5 linked regions of the Rattus norvegicus genome follow. The protein of the gene in region 1 interacts with the protein of each later gene in a pairwise test. Links are inferred from orthologs where the notes say so. Each region holds a gene or a part of one and is shown in the gene's direction. Other genes may lie near its edges.

Evidence for each region. The genes of interacting proteins can lie anywhere in the genome.
Region 2: the proteins of Kash5 (region 1) and Ppp1r18 interact in binary tests that used the Homo sapiens proteins (3 or more experiments, as listed by UniProt). The two-hybrid records come from large-scale screens. The link is inferred for Rattus norvegicus from reciprocal best matches to the Homo sapiens genes KASH5 and PPP1R18.
Region 3: the proteins of Kash5 (region 1) and Senp2 interact in binary tests that used the Homo sapiens proteins (3 or more experiments, as listed by UniProt). The two-hybrid records come from large-scale screens. The link is inferred for Rattus norvegicus from reciprocal best matches to the Homo sapiens genes KASH5 and SENP2.
Region 4: the proteins of Kash5 (region 1) and Bet1 interact in binary tests that used the Homo sapiens proteins (3 or more experiments, as listed by UniProt). The two-hybrid records come from large-scale screens. The link is inferred for Rattus norvegicus from reciprocal best matches to the Homo sapiens genes KASH5 and BET1.
Region 5: the proteins of Kash5 (region 1) and Traf3ip3 interact in binary tests that used the Homo sapiens proteins (3 or more experiments, as listed by UniProt). The two-hybrid records come from large-scale screens. The link is inferred for Rattus norvegicus from reciprocal best matches to the Homo sapiens genes KASH5 and TRAF3IP3.

Annotation. Positions count from the first base shown.
Region 1 is NC_086019.1:104,807,718-104,810,784, reverse strand, and holds part of Kash5 (protein KASH5), read left to right. Parts: intron 1-114; coding exon 115-179; intron 180-333; coding exon 334-421; intron 422-678; coding exon 679-795; intron 796-1,281; exon of another isoform or gene 1,282-1,356; intron 1,357-2,290; coding exon 2,291-2,349; intron 2,350-3,067. UniProt on the Homo sapiens protein: As a component of the LINC (LInker of Nucleoskeleton and Cytoskeleton) complex, involved in the connection between the nuclear lamina and the cytoskeleton.
Region 2 is NC_086038.1:2,882,271-2,885,851, reverse strand, and holds the end of Ppp1r18 (phostensin), read left to right. Parts: intron 1-1,458; coding exon 1,459-1,666; intron 1,667-2,674; coding exon 2,675-2,694; 3' UTR 2,695-3,482; downstream 3,483-3,581.
Region 3 is NC_086029.1:92,487,832-92,491,662, reverse strand, and holds the end of Senp2 (sentrin-specific protease 2), read left to right. Parts: intron 1-1,121; coding exon 1,122-1,217; intron 1,218-3,188; coding exon 3,189-3,251; 3' UTR 3,252-3,272; downstream 3,273-3,831. UniProt on the Homo sapiens protein: Protease that catalyzes two essential functions in the SUMO pathway.
Region 4 is NC_086022.1:33,074,604-33,078,184, reverse strand, and holds part of Bet1 (BET1 homolog), read left to right. Parts: intron 1-1,575; coding exon 1,576-1,700; intron 1,701-3,581. UniProt on the Homo sapiens protein: Required for vesicular transport from the ER to the Golgi complex. Functions as a SNARE involved in the docking process of ER-derived vesicles with the cis-Golgi membrane.
Region 5 is NC_086031.1:107,241,597-107,245,177, reverse strand, and holds part of Traf3ip3 (TRAF3-interacting JNK-activating modulator), read left to right. Parts: coding exon 1-110; intron 111-2,528; coding exon 2,529-2,676; intron 2,677-2,757; coding exon 2,758-2,821; intron 2,822-3,045; coding exon 3,046-3,070; intron 3,071-3,315; coding exon 3,316-3,345; intron 3,346-3,508; coding exon 3,509-3,581. UniProt on the Homo sapiens protein: Adapter protein that plays essential roles in both innate and adaptive immunity. Plays a crucial role in the regulation of thymocyte development.

The DNA of each region.
Region 1 (3,067 bases):
GCTCCTTTAGCCTTGGACTTTTTGCCACTGCTACTTCACCCTGGTCATTGGCAGTATGTGTCTGGAGAGAGGAGTATGTGGGTTCCACGAGGGCCCATGCTCTGCTTCTTGTAGGAGCTAAGGCAAGAAATTTCAAACCTGGAGGAGCAACTGAGTCAGAGCCAGGAAGGCCCAGAGGAGTGAGTGGATGCTCAGGCGGGAATGGGGCTGAGTGAGCAATGGCTCACTGTGGAGGGGAGGCTCAAGCACATGGTCGGGCATGACAGGGGCAGGAGAGGGCTGGGCCACAGGGTGAAGACAGAAGATAAGCCTCCCTCCCCTGTATGCGGCTAGGCTGCTGGAAGGGGCTGAGGCAGGAAGAGTAGGCTGGATCATGGCCCTGCCCCCATCACTGGACTTGGAGATCCAGGCTCTCCGGCAGGTAGGCCCTGCTTCCACGGAAGCTCTCCACGTGTCCCCAGCAGACCTTCACTCTGGCCAGGAGAACTTGGAGGCCATGCTCCTGACCATCATCGCTCACCAATCTGGTCCCCTCACCCATTCCCTCCGTACCTGTTGCATACCTTCCACCGAGCCATCCTCTTGTCCCAGCCCACACCTGTGCCCCACACCTCCATCCCGCCTGGGCTCCCACTCTTCTCCGGCCCTCCCAGGATCACATGCAGCTTCTGCTTCCAGGGGCAGGATGCAGCCAGTACTGGCCTCTCCAGTCCTCTGTGTGGACTGTGGCAGTGGGAAGAGGCTGAACCACAGGAGGAGGCCGAGTCTCCCTCTGAGGACCCTGCTAGGCGACAGGTACACAGAGAGGCTAAGCCACAGGAGTCCAGGGGCCCCACCACCCTCTGCCCCTTTCCTGTGCCGTCTACTCATTGAGCTTACAGAGAGCCTGATGCAGGCTGGGCGTCCAGCCCCAGCCAACAGAACACACACCTGCCCTCAAGGGACAGGCAAACTCAAGCTGCCCCATAGAAACACCTGTCACGATGTGCTCATCTATGATTGAACATATTGTGAAAGACACGAAGGGCCTTTTTAGAAACTGCATGGTGATGGTGGCCATGCCCTTAATCCTAGCACGGGGGAGGCAGAGGCAGGCAGATCTCTGAGACCAGCCTGGTCTACAGAGTGAGTTCCAGGACAGCCAGGAATACAGAGAAACCCTGTCTTTAAAAAAATAATAATAAAAATGAAAGCAAAAAGAAAGACAGGCTTAGCACTAAAATGAATCTAAGCTGCACAGTGGCTCTGTTTCAGAAAACAATGGGGGTCTTTCTACCCAAGGTCTACACTATGCTAGGCAAGTACCCCACCACTGAGCAGAAGCCCTGTGTACTCCTGAGCTGTCCCTGTACATAGGTGAGTCACCCAAGGCACGTGAACCCCAAGTGGGCCAGCAAGTTTAGGTAGCAGCTGGCCTGGGATGGCAAGGGATGTCTGCTCCAGGTGGGGGACAATAGACGGAAAGTGACCTTGTCTTAGGACCCGAGACCCTTGGGAACATACCACACAGTGGTCTCAGGATGCTCAGGTGACTGAATGAGGAGGTGACTCGGCAAAGGGTTTGTCTCTGACTTCGAGTAAGGGTGGGCAGGGTAGGGACAGGGCAGAAGGGCAGTGCCAAGAAGGGAGGTGAGGGAAGATATTAAGTTTATAGGTGAGGTGGCATCTTGTAGGACATCCAGGGCCTCCAGAAGTAGCCAGGTGCACAAGCCTGGAGGTCACCAATCACTAGGAATGGACAGTGGTGACTCACACTGCAACTCTAGAACTGGGAATGCTGAAGCAGGAGGCCTGCCATGAGTTTGAGGCCACCCTAAGCTACAGAGTTAGATCCTATCGAAAAGAAAAGAAGGGTGCAAGGCAGCCCCACAGCTGTACCCCAAATCCCAGGAAGTAGAAACAGGAAGGCAGGAACTCAAGGTCATCCTCATCCTCTGTAACCTAGCGAGTTCATGCCAGCCTGGGCTACAAGACTCTCAGAGCAAAATAACAATGAGCAGGGACATCCAGAGACCCACCCCGAGAGGGAAGAGGGAAGAAGATACTGAGCCCCCTCTTGACTCAGGCTGGTAGATGGGGACATCCTGGGAACACTGATCTCTACTTCTGAGGAGTTCGTACCTATGGCATATCTGGCTTTCTGTGGGTGCTGAGAGGGAGCCCACAGAAAGTTTAGAAGCTTGTACCCTTGGGGGCCATCTACACCAGTCTAGACCTCAGGTAGGGGGTACCTTGCTGGAACTGGGTCAGAAGCCTAGAGTCCAGGAGACCAAATCTTGATGTTCTGCAGACAGACTTCCAGAGAGAGCCAGTGCATGCTCTAGAAGGAAGCAGAACTCCATGCTTGAGGTAAGGAGCAAGTTAACAGTCCTTCCTCTGTCACAGTGATGTAGTTCTGGCTGTCAGAAGATAAGGATGGTGGCACCCCGCAGGAGTCACATCCCCCTCCTCCATCTAGTCTATGACTGCCTCAGAACCCTGGGCCTGCCCTCAGTACATCCTGACCCTGGCAATTCCAACAAGGGATGGGCACATGGACCCTAGGGAGGTCAGGGGCTCTGGGAGGTACCCCAAGGATCAGACTGGATTCACAGGAGCAAGAGGTGCTGGGAAAATACTGATGGGGGCCTTGAGGCTTCCCAGCCCTAGAAAAAGCTTAAGACCCAGTCTTGGGCACCCATAAAGGGAATGGTGTGAGCCTCATGGGTCCTGGGAGTCCAGCTCTGTGACTGATGATGGTGTATCATAAGGCCTTACTCAGGCTTTGAGTAAGAATGGAAAGTGCTGGATGTCTAGTCCCAGCGCCTTCAGCTTCCTGTGGTGCCCCCCTCCTCCAGACTCCTGCTGCCACAGCTAATGAGGCCCCTACACAACCTCTAATTGGACTTGTCTGGGCAGAGCTGAGATTTGGCTGGCTCAGGGCTCTGATCAATGTGACCTCCTCCTACGTCATCAGGATGGAGGGAAGATGGGACTTACGCCCCCTGCGTAGGACTGCTACTAACACATTTTCAGGGCGGCAAACACTGGAGCCCAAAATGGGACTGGGCTGGGGCCTGACTGCAAA
Region 2 (3,581 bases), on another chromosome or scaffold:
GTATGCTGGGCATCCCTTGGCTCGTCTAAACCTTTCCGTTGTCATCCAATCCTGAGTCAGGAGTGCCCATCTGACTTCATGATTGTTTGTTTTTAAATACCTCTGCCTCACAGCAGTGAAAGATAGAGACCCGAATTCTGCCTTACTTACCTCGTTGCCATGGCAAAGTCTCTTTTTTGGGGTGTGTGTGTGTGTGTGTGTGTGTGTGTGTGTGCTTATTTTTAAAGTCAAGGTCTCTATGTAGATCAGGCTAGCCCCAGACTGGTCACCTGATTCCATCTGAATGTCAGCTTTTACTCTCTTGTATTTCATGTGCATTGCTGTTTTTGCCTGGGTGAGGGTGTCTGAGCCTCTGGAACTGGCGTTGTAGACAGTTGTGAGTCGCCATGTGGGTGCTGAGAATTGAACCCAGGTCCTCTGGAAAGAGCAGCCAGTGCTCTTAACCACTGAGCCATCTCTCCAACTCCTCACCCCTTTCTTTTTTTTTGTTTTGTTTTTTTAAGATTTATTCATTTATTATATATAAGTACACACTGTAGCTGTCTTCAGATACCAGAAGAGGGCATCAGATCTCTTTACAGATGGTTGTGAGCCACCATGTGGTTGCTGGGAATTGAACTCAGGACCTCTGGAAGAGTAATCGGGTGCTCTTAACCGCTGAGCCATCTCTCCAGCCCACCCCTTTCTTTTTTTAGACAGAGTTTGATCTGCATGGAAGGCTAGCCTGGAATTTGGTGTAATCCTCCTGCCTCATCTTCTCTCTCTCTCTCTCTCTCTCTCTCTCTCAAAAATTATTTTTTTTCAAGTTTATTTATTTACTCTATATAAGTACACTGTTGCTGTCTTCAGACACACCAGAAGAGGACATCAGATCCCATTACAGATGGTTGTGAGCCACTATGTGGTTGCTGGGATTTGAACTCAGGACCTCTGGAAGAGCAGTCACTGCTCTTAACCGCTGAGCCATCTCTCCAGCCCTCTTGAACGCTGAAATCGCTGCCTCGAGGCACCACACCTGGGGTGCAGAGAGACACCTGACATAACACACTGTGAAGGTCAAAGGTTCCAGAGAGGCCTGGCTACAATCGCTCTCACAGCCCAGCCAGTGTTTTGCAAGCCTGTGTACGTGTACACTGCAAGTATGCCTGGAGCCTGCAGAGGTCCCGGAACTACAGTTACAGATGGTTGTGAGTGCTGGGAACTGAACACAGGTCCTCTGCAAGAGCAGCGAGTGCTCTTAACCACTGAGTCATCTTCCCAGCCTCTAAGTGTTGTTTTGAATGATGCCATTAGACGGAATAATCAAGATGTAAAGGAAAGCCGAACCCCAAATGGATGGAAGGGAAGGTCTGCGGGGCACCTAAGCCCAGCCCCGCTCCACTTGCCTCTGGTCTCTCAGCCCTCCCTGGATCCCCTAGTGATGAACTTGCCTCCTCTCCCCTCTCTTCCTACTCTCAGCTCAAGATCTCCTTTAGTGAGACAGCACTGGAGACCACATACCAATACCCTTCCGAGAGCTCGGTACTGGAGGATCTAGGCCCGGAGCCTGAGGCCCCCACTGCCCCCTTAGCAACGCAGCCTGACGATGACGAGGAGGAGGAAGAGGAGGAGTTGCTTCTGCAGCCCGGGCTCCAGGGCGGGCTGTGCACCAAGGCCCTAATCGTGGGTAAGCGGCTGCGGCGTGGTTGGCGTAGGGCGCCCCCTGGTGTTCATGGCTTTGTGGTACTTTGAAGGAGCTTGGTCCAATTTGCTACATCTGCTGATTCCTGAAAGCCAGCACACTTGGAGTCTCCAGATTTCAAAACCAGAGCTCGCTCGTTATCCAGATCTCTAATCTGGTTAAAAATACCCGTGTTGGGTCAGGCGGCATGGAGTCAGAATTCCAGCTCGTCTGTTACTTAGTTGTGATCCTGAATCAATCCGAGCTCGGTTTCCGTTTACCTTATGTGTGGCGTGCGCGCCTGCACTCCCAGATCCCAGAGCATGCTAGGCGGGTGCTCTGCCGCCGATCGGTATCCCCAGTTTTCATTTATCATCCTTTAAAATAAAGTTAACAGTTGTGTGCTGGGCCTCCGGGTGTGTAGCTCAGCGATAAGATTGCTGCCTTGAGCTGAGAAAAGTGACTCATGCCTGTAATCCTATCACTAAAGCGGGGGTAGATCCGCCTAGTCTACACAGTGAGTTCCAGGGCACCCTGGACTATTACAGATCGAGACCCCATCTGAAACGAACAAACAAAAAGGTTGTGTACCCCGCCTTAATTGATAATAGCAAGTACTTTTTTTTTTTTTTTTTTTTTTTTTTTTGGTTCTTTTTTTCGGAGCTGGGGACCGAACCCAGGGCCTTGCGCTTCCTAGGCAAGCGCTCTACCACTGAGCTAAATCCCCAACCCCAAGCAAGTACTTCTTGAAGTTGTTTGAAGACTTGAGTAGATTTTTGTAAAGCACCTAGGTATACATAGCTAGGTATTAAATTACTTCACCTTTGCTGAGACGATTGTGAAATTAAACAAGATGCTCAGCACAGAATCCAGTTAACCGTGATGATGACCACTGTTCCACAGCCAACATGTTACAAAGACTTCTCTTATACCAGCCACTCTTCGGTTCTGGGGATGCGTGGGGAGGCGGAGGCCCTCTCCGCTTCTCTGGATTGATTACCTCTTTTCCTGCAGATGAGTCCTGCCGGCGGTGACCATCTTCGAGTTTGGGCATATACCTCTCTCCTTCTCGCACCTGAAGATTCTGGAGCTTGGATGATTCAGAGCCGACAGACATGGCAGTGAGCCCGCCTGGCAGGGAAGGGCGACAAGCGAGCGAATTCGGACTTGCTTTTCCCATCCTGTTCCTGGGGCGGAGCCGGTAGCCTAAATTGACCCCTAACCCAAAGTTCCCGGTGGGCGGAGCATCCTCGGTGAGCTAAGAGTGAGCATCAAGTCCTGGGTTGGAATTCAGAATTTATCTGGAATTGAGATGGAGCACCTCCAGCCTCACAGCCTTCCTTAAAGCTCAGCCACTCTCCGGGGATCCCGCTCCATCCACGAACACCCCCTTTTCTAGGTCACTACCCCTTTGTTTACAGCTTCCCTCTTGATCACAGCCTGGTTTACATACCCACTAGCTCCCAATCCCACCTGCAGAGTCCCAGGTTTACAAGCCATGCCTACCCGCGGAGCCCCTGTGGGATCCTCCACCTTCCCTTTGTTTCATTGTGAGTGACTTGGGAAGGTGTGTAACCTTCTTCAGCTTTGCTCAGTATTACTGTGCCTCGGTTTCCCCCAAGAGGGCAGGCTGGGGATCCTAATCCTGAACCCCATGAAAATTATTTAATTCTGTTCCTCCACGTGGTTCACATTGAATTGAATTGCAGTGTGGGGGGCGCTCAGGAGGCGCCTCGCTTCTCCCCATTGCTCCTTGGTCAGCTGCCTGGTTTGTTTCGTTTTTTGTAACTTTCCGTAATAAAATGGAGCTCTTTTCAACTCTCTTGCTGTCTTCCTTTTCTTTGTTTCTTCTTCTTTTTTTTTTAAGATTTTGTTTATTTCATGTATATGAATACACTCTAGCTGTCTTCAGACACACCAG
Region 3 (3,831 bases), on another chromosome or scaffold:
GAGTAAGCCTTCCCTCCCGCATTCTTGTTCTGCTATACCCCTTATGTGAACAGCCAAGACTGGGGTGCTGTCCTGAGCACACCACTTACGCCATATGGGTTTCCCTTGTGATGTTCTGAGAGCTGCCTGTTCCCAATTGTGTTTCTGCCTCAGGGACAGAACTCATCTCACTTGAAACTGTAGGGGTCCTTGGCAGCGGGCATTTGTCCTGGTGGTTAAGAGTATGTGACCTCTGCAGTAGTGACGTAGATTCTTGTACTTCATAGCTACCTAATTGACCCTTTCTTAGCCCCCTTTTAAAGTTGATAATACTTTTGAAATGTCCATGGTGTTTTTTAATGAATTAGTTATTTTACATCAGACGGTAGTTTCCCCTCCCTTCTCTCTCCTCCAGTCCTTCCCTCCTACCTCCCCCGATACTCCATCCACCCTTTCTCCCTTCTCTTTAGAAAAAGGGGTGCCTCCCATGGATATCAACGAGCCTTGGCATATCAGGTTGCAGTGAGACTATCTCCTCCTCCTAAGGCTAGACAAGGCAGCCCAGTAGTGGGAATGGGTCCAAAGGCAGGGAACAGAGTCAGAGATAGCCTTGCACCCACTGTTAAAGTCACACACAGTCACTAGTATTCTCTCTCTTTTTTGAAAAGATTTGTTTTATGTAAGTACACTGTACACAGTCATTATTGTCTTCAGACACACCAGCAGAGGGTGTCAGATCCCATTACAGATGGTTGTCAGCCATGTGGTTGCTGGGAATTGAACTCAGGACCTCTGGAAGAGCAGTCAGTGCTCTTAACCGCTGAGCCATCTCTGATAAACAAAATGTGGGTCTTCTTTTCTCAGCCCTCACCATGTGGGGTGGGTTTTGTTTTGCTTTTCAGTACATCTCTCCCTTCTTTCTTCTATGAAGTGTTTCTGTGGGGTCTCATACACTGCACCGTGGCCAGTGTTTTACACCACAAAGAATAAGAGGGGTTGTGCTTGTGTGTTCATCCGTGTTTGTGCAACAGCAGACTTATTGACCTTTATTGTGCTGCTTCCCACTGTCTGTTTACAAAGAGACTAAAGAACATCTGAAATGATAGTTTACCTCCTCTTCTTTTCTGTTTATTTGGTTTTAGGAGATTCCTCAACAGTTGAATGGGAGTGATTGTGGAATGTTTACTTGTAAATACGCAGATTATATTTCTAGGGACAAACCTATCACATTCACTCAGGTGAGTCTGGGCTGCTTCTTGTGTTCTGCTTTGGCAGTGCCTGGCACACTTGAGGCTCTTCAAATGAACGGTACAATTGCTAAGAGCCTTGGGTGAGGCCCACTCTTCTCAGAAGCAGCGTCCTGTGTGCTCTGTTGTAGCATGTATTCTCAGGCTTGTCCTGCTCTCTAATGACCAGTGGGATAACTTGCTTGTCCTTGAATTCCATTTTTGATTGGTTCATGTGTGTAACTGTTACTTTAGCTGGAGAGAGGCGTGTGAGAATAGCTGACAGCAGGGGAGCTGGGCCTGTGAGGCTCGCCCCAGAGTCTAAGGTGGAAGCAGGAGTGAGTGGTCTTTCCTTCCTGCAAGGTGGTGTGCTTGGGAGGACACAGGTACATCAGAGACCTTACATTTCTGTGTGATAGTGGACCCAGTCTCCCTTTGTATAGCCAGAGTTAACGCCAATTAAAATTATTTCTCATTCCTAGATCTTTATTTGATAGCTCCTGGCTGCCAAACAAAGTAGTTATTGAATAGTAGAACTAAATGCTTTTGGGGACATGAAGTAAACTGGACTCCCCTGCTGAATCCTATCTTCCCAGTCTCAAAGAAAGCACTCACTACTGGTTAACCTCAGCTGTTTTACTGGGCATGGTGGTGCATGCCTCTAATCCCAGCACTAGGGAGGCAAAAAAGAACCCTGTGATTTTTATTTCAATTAAGACTTTTGCTATACACACCTCCATAGACTCGGCAGTTTATAATGTGGAGCTCGATAGACCCGCCTACTTATAGCAGTGCCTCAGGACCCAGGCAGACGGGAACTGCAGTTTTGATTTTTTTTTTGAGACAAGGTTTCTCTGCATAGCCAAGGCTGTCCTCAGACTAAGAGATCTGCCTGCCTCTGCCTTCCCAGTGCTGGGGTGAAGGGTGCGGACCCCTACCGCCCAGCTGGAACTCAAATTTTCCCAAGCATGGGGTTGGGTGTCTGAGTCACAGGTGGTTTTGGGAGCTTCATGTTTCATTGCTCTGAGAACCTGCCATCGATTCTCCCTGAGAGCACAGAGACTCTCCCCTCCCAACCCTAGTCTCTGGTTTTATTTATTGATACAGGGACACTGTGGAGCAAGACTAGCCTCAGACTCATGATCTTTATATCTTAACTGCTTTCTAAAGTGTTGGGATTATAGGTGTGACTAATATAAGTAGCAAGGCGTTGGTTTTTCTGTATGTGACATGAGATTTCATGGGGATAAGCAGCTTTTGGAACATAATTGATTGTGGTAGAACAGAAATAAAATTGTAGATGTTTGTTTTTCACCTTTTAAATAAAAGTCATTTAAATTGAAAACAGGACCTCATAAATACTTTGGCAAGACCTCTACCACTGAACCATACCTTCCTGCTCTAAGGTTACTTTTTTTAATATAAAAACAAATTGATTTTTTAAATGATGTTCATTTAGAATGTAGAAAAGTTTTCTGTTGTGCCACTGTGTGGACATTTCTAGTTTGGTGCCTGTTTTTACTCTTGTCCTGTGGTATATGATTCTGCATCTGCTTTGGTTTTCTTAGCATGTGAGTGCACATGCACATGTAGGGTAATTAATGCCCTAATGTATGCGCATAGACTAGGTATGTGGCACTCGTCATCCCAGCACTGTGGAGGCTGGGGAACTAGAAGCTTGTGAGCACAGACAGCTTAAGCTGTTAGCAAGACCCTCCCTCCTCAAACAACAAAACAAACAAAAACAAAACCTTTGTCAAACGTGGTGACACATGACTGTAATCCCAGCCCTGGAGAGGATGGTCAAGAAGTAGGAATTCAGGAAGGCCTCCTTGACTAGAAATCAACCCCACTGTGCTTTAGACACGTGTACGTGATTCAGATGGGGAGGCTCATGGAGAGGACATGTGCATCACTCTGTTTGACACCTAAGGCTGCCATGCTGTACACTGAAGTGTCTAACACCGCTGTGGTTCTTTTCAGCACCAGATGCCTCTCTTCCGGAAGAAGATGGTGTGGGAAATCCTTCACCAGCAGTTGCTGTGACAATGCCCCGCCTGGTCTTCTAGTTGCTGGTGGTTCTTTCATGGATGTTTCCATATACCTCATGCATTGTGGGTTGAAAAGTCCCCATCATTTCTCTTCTCTCACAGGTACTGAGCTCTCCAGAGTGCATGGAGGCCTCTCTACAGTGGCCCTGACGAGAGGTGTGGAGGGGCTGCTTGCAGCCCTGTTTGTAAGGCTGTGCCTGCTCAGAGCCCTGGACTGTTCGCCCCATACAAGGACACATACTAATTAATGTTTTGTTTTAAGGCGTTATTTCCATATGAATGTGGGAAATGCAGGATTTGTTATATGAATTGTTCTCTGTGTGTTCACACATATTCACTCACTCATTTGCAAACACTGGGCAGTGCCCTTTCCCACTGCTCTTTTATAATTAGCTATAAATAATTTGTTTGGACTATTTATTTCTGAAAAGAATGTTAATCAAACTGCCACTCCCTGCTGCAGAGATGTCCGCAGGGGGAGGGAGGTGTTCGCCAGCTTCTCTAGTGCCGGGAACTGAACGCACAGTTAAGGTTCTCGTTTAAGGCTTGGAAATGCCAGAAGAAATGATGATGCT
Region 4 (3,581 bases), on another chromosome or scaffold:
AGTGCTCATTATATGCAAGAGCATAGAGAAGCATGAGACAAAGTTGGTTAACCGCAAAGGAAAATTGTCCTTTTTAGTTCATTTATAAGTATTTACATAAGTACTGTTGTGTGTGTGTGGGGGGGTGCCTGTGTGTTTATGGCGATCTAGAATGATCAATGAATAAATCTAGTTAATGCTCTTACAGTTCAATGTAGAGGTCAGTGTTGATGTTATATAGTCAGAGTTATAAGGATTCAAGAGTTTTGCTACTTCAATAAAATTAAATTGTGCTATGCTTTGAAAGAGTTTCTTATTCATGCACACATAACTAACTGTCCTTCAGCTACTAGATTATTGCTACCTACTCTGTCCACTGTTACTATGATTGTTCTTAGTATCAGTGCTACTGCATTTCTGTTTGAGCCCATGGTCACCTATAGCTTTAAGGGTATCTCTTTCTTCTGGCTTCCTATGTCACTAAAGAATATGCTTCCAACCATGGACAATCTAGTCCCTTTAATACATACTACACTCTTCGTTCTTCTGCAGTCCCAATATTGATTAAACCTTCCAGTTTTAGAACCATCCAACCATCCAACAGTGTGGCTTCTCAATGGCTGACGGAGACCAAGGAGCCGTTCTGTTGAGAGTCTCATATCTAGGAGGACAGAAGCTAATTCAGTATACTTCCATGGCCATGTTTATTCTCCAAGTGATACTGAATGATTTGGGTCACAGTTCTTTCATGGTTTCTCTTCATTGTTTATTCTAAAGGATCATTCTTCTTTACTAGGTAGCCTGCTTTCTTCCTTTACAGAGAAAATGATGGCATCAATTTATTAAGACTTGGTGAGGTGCCCTCAGTCCAAAACATTTCTGTATGGATTTGTTGCCTAATGTGTACTGTGTCCGTTGTTTCCCAGTGATTGCCAAGTACTATAGTAGACAGTAATCGACTCTTCCGGCTTCCACATCATCTCGAAAATAGATACACATATGGTAGCTTCTCAAATAGTGGTTGGAAGATGAGTGAACTTCTTGAGACTCTCAGCTAATGGTCTCTACAAGCCATTGTGTCTCTTCCTCAGGGTTTCACCTATGGCCCTCTCTTCACTTTGTTCTTTGGTTTACACCCTTTGCGTATTATAGGTAAAAGGTGCTAGGAAAAGTCTACCATCTTTCTGCCATGAGAACCCTCCCTCCACATTATCTTTTACCCTTTCTTCTTATAACCAAGTTTCTCTGATGGGTAGATGGTGCTATGTTTATGTCCTTTATTAAAACATTTCTAGTGTGCAACAAATGTCTTCCAAATATCCTTGTATATCTGTGCCTCTTTTAGTATTTTTTTAAGTAATCAATACATGGTCAATAAATATGTGTTGAAGAAAATGCATATTCAACTTAAAAGAGGATGTGAAAAGAATTGTAATATCTGGTTCTGAGTTTTACTAGTTGATTTGCAGTGTGCTATAATAGATACATGTGGTCTGCAATGCTGTCCGGGGGTCTTTTTCAGCATTTTTTAGCTACTAGGGTTTGAAAAGTAGCTTCTGTTTTTGCAGTCCTACATTGTGCCTCTGAACCTTGTAGGTGATGGAGCACCTCCTGGCGGCTATGGGAACTATGGTTATGCCAATAGTGGATATAATGCTTGTGAAGAAGAGAATGACAGACTCACTGAAAGTCTCAGAAGCAAAGTAACAGCTATAAAATCTGTAAGTACAGAGCCAGTGCCATTTTAACTCCTAGTTTTGAACTTATTGTCATCACAAGAAGGGATTCATTTCAAAATGGTACACTGAGCTCAAAGTGCACCAAAAGTTCAGACCATTCATTGAATAAGTTAGAAGATGTGGCAAGTTAAAAGATGTGGTACTTTTGCTTAATTTTGTTCCTCAAACCATACCTAGCAAGATCTAAATAAATCCATTATATGCAGTAGTTCCAACAGTTCCAGGCATACTTTCTGTATAATTTTAGGCTATAGACAATTCTAACTTGTTCTTTTCCCTCATTTGTTACTGTAATAAAGAAAAATTATTTAACCAGTCTAGACTTATAATCAAAGAAATGTCATATTTTGATTGGGAAATATTAAATGCATATGTGTGTATTTGACTTGGTCCTGTGGTACTAGTAAGTTGTGAAATGTAAGGAATATACAAGTAAATATATAAAAGAGAAAATAAAATGTGCTAGAATAAGAGAACCAGAGAATGTTAACAAGTAGGTTGAATATTGTAAGGAAGGGAGGAAGAAAATGTCACTGTTAGAAGGACAAGACATTTTTAATTTATTTTCCAATAATTTCACTTGTCAGAGCATTGGGGGATCCAGTGAAATAGCCCTTCCGGCTTGTCTGCTAGTGGCTTAAAATATAAAACTGACGTCTTTCTCACTTCCATCTTTGAGCCTCATTTGAATCTTGGCCCCTCCCATGCTTCCCTAGCATGGCCCTGACATTTATGTTCAGACCCGTGGGAGAACTCCTGGGCCTGTCTCAGCTCCTGCTGGTCTTCATAATGTTGTCATGGCTATTGGTAGAATTTGGTTAAAGTGCCTCCTGCCCTCTCAGAAGTCTTTGGATCCTCCTGTTATAAAACTCTTGTAGACTGATTGTTCTCTATGTTCTTCAGAGAATGGCCCGCCCGTCAGAGCTTCTCCCCAGCTTCTCCTGGATTTACAGCGAGACAAACGAGAAGTGTCCTTTGTACGCTGCATACCGCTATGCCCTTTTCCATGTTTGTAAAGGCTCAAACTGCCTTTGGTATTGTCACCTTCCTTCCTTCCTTCCTTCCTTCTTTCCTTCCTTCCTTCCTCCCTCCCTTCCTTCCTTCCTTCTTCCTTCCTTCCTTCCTTCCTTCCTTCTTCCTCCCTCCCTTCCTTCCTTCCTCCCTCCCTTCCTTCCTTCCTTCCTTCTTCCTTCCTTCCTTCCTCTCTTCCTTCCTCCCTTCCTCCCTCCCTTCCTCCCTCCCTTCCTTCCTTCCTTCCTTCCTTCTTCCTTCCTTCCTTCCTCCCTCCCTCCCTCCCTCCCTTCCTTCCTCCCTTCCTCCCTCCCTTCCTCCCTTCCTCCCTCCCTTCCTCCCTCCCTTCCTCCCTTCCTTCCTCCCTCCCTCCCTTCCTTCCTCCCTCCCTCCCTTCCTCCCTCCCTCCCTCCCTCCCTCCCTTCTTCCTTCCTTCCTCCCTCCCTCCCTCCCTTCCTTCCTCCCTCCCTCCCTCCCTCCCTCCCTTCAGGAAGATTGCCAGTGCTGGATCTGCCCCTCATGCTTTATCTTAGGACTACACCCGGCATCAACTCTTCTCTATAAAACAAAGATCATTTGTGAATTCAGTGTAGTTCCTTCTCGGCAGTACTGAGGAAACTTCTGTTAAAGGAATTATACAAATGATTTTAAAAGTATGTGTCATTGATTTCCATGGCAATGAACATACTACACACTTGTTAAGCATTCAGTAGAAGCCACATTGTCACATGTAATTGGTATTTAATATCAGTCTTTGGAAGGTTGTATTCAGGTTGTACTCAAAATTGGTTTTTGATATATGGTGTTATTTTCAAAGTCATCTTAATTAAAATGATTTAATCTATGGACCTA
Region 5 (3,581 bases), on another chromosome or scaffold:
AATCCAGGGAGCAAAGGCCCTCCAGCAAGACAGATGGAGGAACAGGCCAAGTGTCTATCCTCAAGAAGTCCGGGCCTGGAGCCAACAGGACCTCTTTCCCTGGACAGCAGGTGCGATATGACGAGTCACTGCTCCAGGCCCAGGGGTAGGGGGTCTGCAAGGTACAAGGGGTGAAAGTCACTAACAATCGATTTCTGTTAGCCCCTTCCTCAGCATACAAACAGGTTTCCTTTAGCCATCGACCATTGCTCTTTTGGAGATTCTGTGGTGTCTTTATTTAACTTCTTTTGAGGGATGGGGGGAGTCCTACACCTGCCTATTGGAAGAATGGAAATAATTGTGCAATTTCAAGCCAAAACTAACTGGTATAAGTTTTTTTTTTCTGAGATAGGGCCTTGCTATATAATCCAAGATGGCTTCAAATTCATTATCCTTCCTGAGAACTGGGTTTACAGGTGTATCATAATCAGATTCTATGCAGCGCTCCTTTTGTTCTCTCAATGCTGAAGGCCTTATGCATGGTAGGTGAGCATTCGGCCACTGGGCCACATCCCCAGTTCTATAACCCAACATGCATCACATGGATGTACACACATGCAAACACACTAACACACACAGACACATGCACACACATACACATATGCACACACAGACACATACATACACACACAGACACATGCACACATACACTCATACATACATACACATACACACACTCGCATCCACACATATGCATATACAGACACATGCACACACATACACATGCACACACAGACACAGGCATGCACACATACACACATACATACATGCACACACATACGCGCACACACTTACATTCACACACATGCACAACACACGCACACCCTCTTAACTCTCCAATAACGCTTCACACCCACTCTTCTCTTTCTCTTGTGACACTTCAGTCCTAACAACTTCACCCAACTGAAGCCTCATCTGATCAGCCTTCTCTGGCAACTCAGGCCACCTCTGCTCTCTTGGGTCTGCATGGTTAATATTGCATAAATGTACAGAAAGTCCATTAGCATGGCCTAGGAGGAGCAGTGTTCACAATAGCAGACTCTGTTATCCCACTATATTGTCAGCACACTGAGGAGAGGAATGGGTCCATGTAACACTGGCTACTGCCACACATACCAAGAATAGGTACTTCATATAGCAGGGGTGTGTGTGTGGGTGTGTGTGTGTGTGTGTGTGTGTGTGTGTGTGTGCACGCCCATGAATTTATATGTGAAATCGAAAGGTTCACTCCAGGTATCATTCCCTGTTTTTTGATACTGAGTGGATCTAGATGCCTGGCTCCACCTTTTTGGCAATGGAATCACAAGCACTCACCACCACCCTGGCTTTTTAAACAAAACAAAACATACCATGGGTTCTGAGCTTCATGGTTACAAGCCAAGCACTTCACTGACTATACTGTCTCTGGCCCCTTCATGAGGCTGCCACACAACTGCCCAGAACAACCAGCCAGGAACATAACTGCAAAAGAACCAGCTGCCTGCTTACAGGGTAACAAGGCCTGGGTGAGGGGGGCAGGCTATGAAGGATAGAACAGAAAACAGTGAAATAACTTCCTGCCTACAGTTATCAGGTCAGCCCATGATGGAATCCCATAAACACTCTTTGGGTTTTTAGTGCTGAATTATCAATATAGACGTTTTTATTTTATAGAAGAAAAGATAAAAAGAGCAGACTAACCTATGAGCACCACCATCCCATCCCCCAAACAAGTTCCCTACTCTGTCTTCTTCAGTGGGAAAGCTCAAAGGTCCTGTGGCTCTAAGGAGAGGCAGGCAGGCCCTCTAGGACCTCTGAGGCCTAGAAAAGGCCAGATCTGACTACTGTCAAGTCTCTGACCACTTCTCCCTCTTAATCAGCATATAGCTTCATTCAGAGAATGAAGCAAGACTGACTCCTTGTCTGACCAAGAAGAGACATTCTCTCTGTCCAGGACAAGAAAGAACCAGTGGGGTTTCTAGGTGGGAAATACTGCTCAAACTGCCATGACAGGTTACCATGGGCAGAATAGCTTGTGCCCAGAAAGGTATTTCTCACTATTTGTAAAGCCCAAGCCCAAACTCGAGGCTCCAGGGTGTCTGGAATCTGATGAGGACACCCGTCCTGTGTGCAGATGGTCATACATTGTGTCCACTCATGGGGGAGAGAGCAGGCAGAGAGACAAGCTCCTGCATGGCTCTTCTGGTAGAGCATTAACCTCATTCATCAGGGCCCCACACTCAGACATAAGTATTTCTCAAAGGCTCCATTTCCCAACACTGTTAGAATCTCAACATGTGAGTTTCAGGAAAACCGCTCAGTGCACACAGATGCGATTACTATTTTTTTTCCAATGCTGAGAATGGAGCCAAGGGTCTTGTACGTGCCTGGCAAGTCCCCATCACTGAACTACATCCCCAGCCCCTGGTCCCTCTTTCTGCAGTTGTCTGGAAAACTTGAGGCCCTTCAGAATAGCATTCAGCATCCTTCATCCTTCATTTGCTTTCCAGGAAACAGGGATATGCTCCGAGGTTTTCCCAGCCTTGTGTCATCCCCCCTCAGGCATCCAGAGAGATCTGGATGACCACCATGTTTCCCATGGAAGAGCCTTTCCACCACAGGACTCTGACACCATGAAGCCACACAGACACCACCAGGGTGAGAGCACAGCCAACCTGCAATGGCAGTCCAGCTCCCCCATCCCTCCCCTGGATGCTGAATCATCCTCTCATCTCTCAGGTACTCAGACAAAGGCAGAAGAGGCATGGCCAACAAGAAAGAATGATGCCAGTCAGCAAACCAAGTGAGTTCCTTCTATGTTCCTGACCCCAAAGTTTCACATCTCATCTACTCCTCCAAGTGTTTACTTGGAACACCTCTCCTGGACACCGAGCCCACCCCGAATGAGGAGGGAAAAGTCCTTCCCACACCACTATACTTCAGCAGAGGTGCCAGATGCAGCTGACATCCTGCCTGCTCACAGGTTTCATCCTTTGACCCACTGTCGTATTTTCCTTCTCTTCCCAGCTGTGGAGTTGCCGTCCTAGACAAGGTAAGAGAACCTTCATTTGGAGGGGTCTGGCTCAGACAGCACCTAAGCTCTACCAGTCTGGGATTCTGCGATAAACTCAGGCTGGGGTGAAGGGACACCTTCTTCCAGGATGACTAGATGGTCCTCAGCATAGATGTGGGGCCAGAAGGATCCAAGGCAAAAGAGATCTGCTATATGTGAGCCCACCAGTACTCTGATTCTACACCAAAGTCCTCCTGAATTATCTCTTTCATCTCTCTCACTAGGACATCATTCAACTCTCTGAATACCTCAAAGTAAGTATCATGGTGACCACACAAACACACACACACACACGCACACACACACACACGAGAGAGAAAGAGAGAGAGAGAGAGAGAGAGAGAGAGAGAGAGAGAGAGAGAACTCTCCACCTACTCTTCCTCCAAGTTAATCTTTCCTTTTGCATTCCTCCTCTAGGAAGCCTTACAAAGGGAGCTGATCCTAAAACAAAAAATGGTGATTCTCCAGGACCTCCTGCCTGCCCTGATCC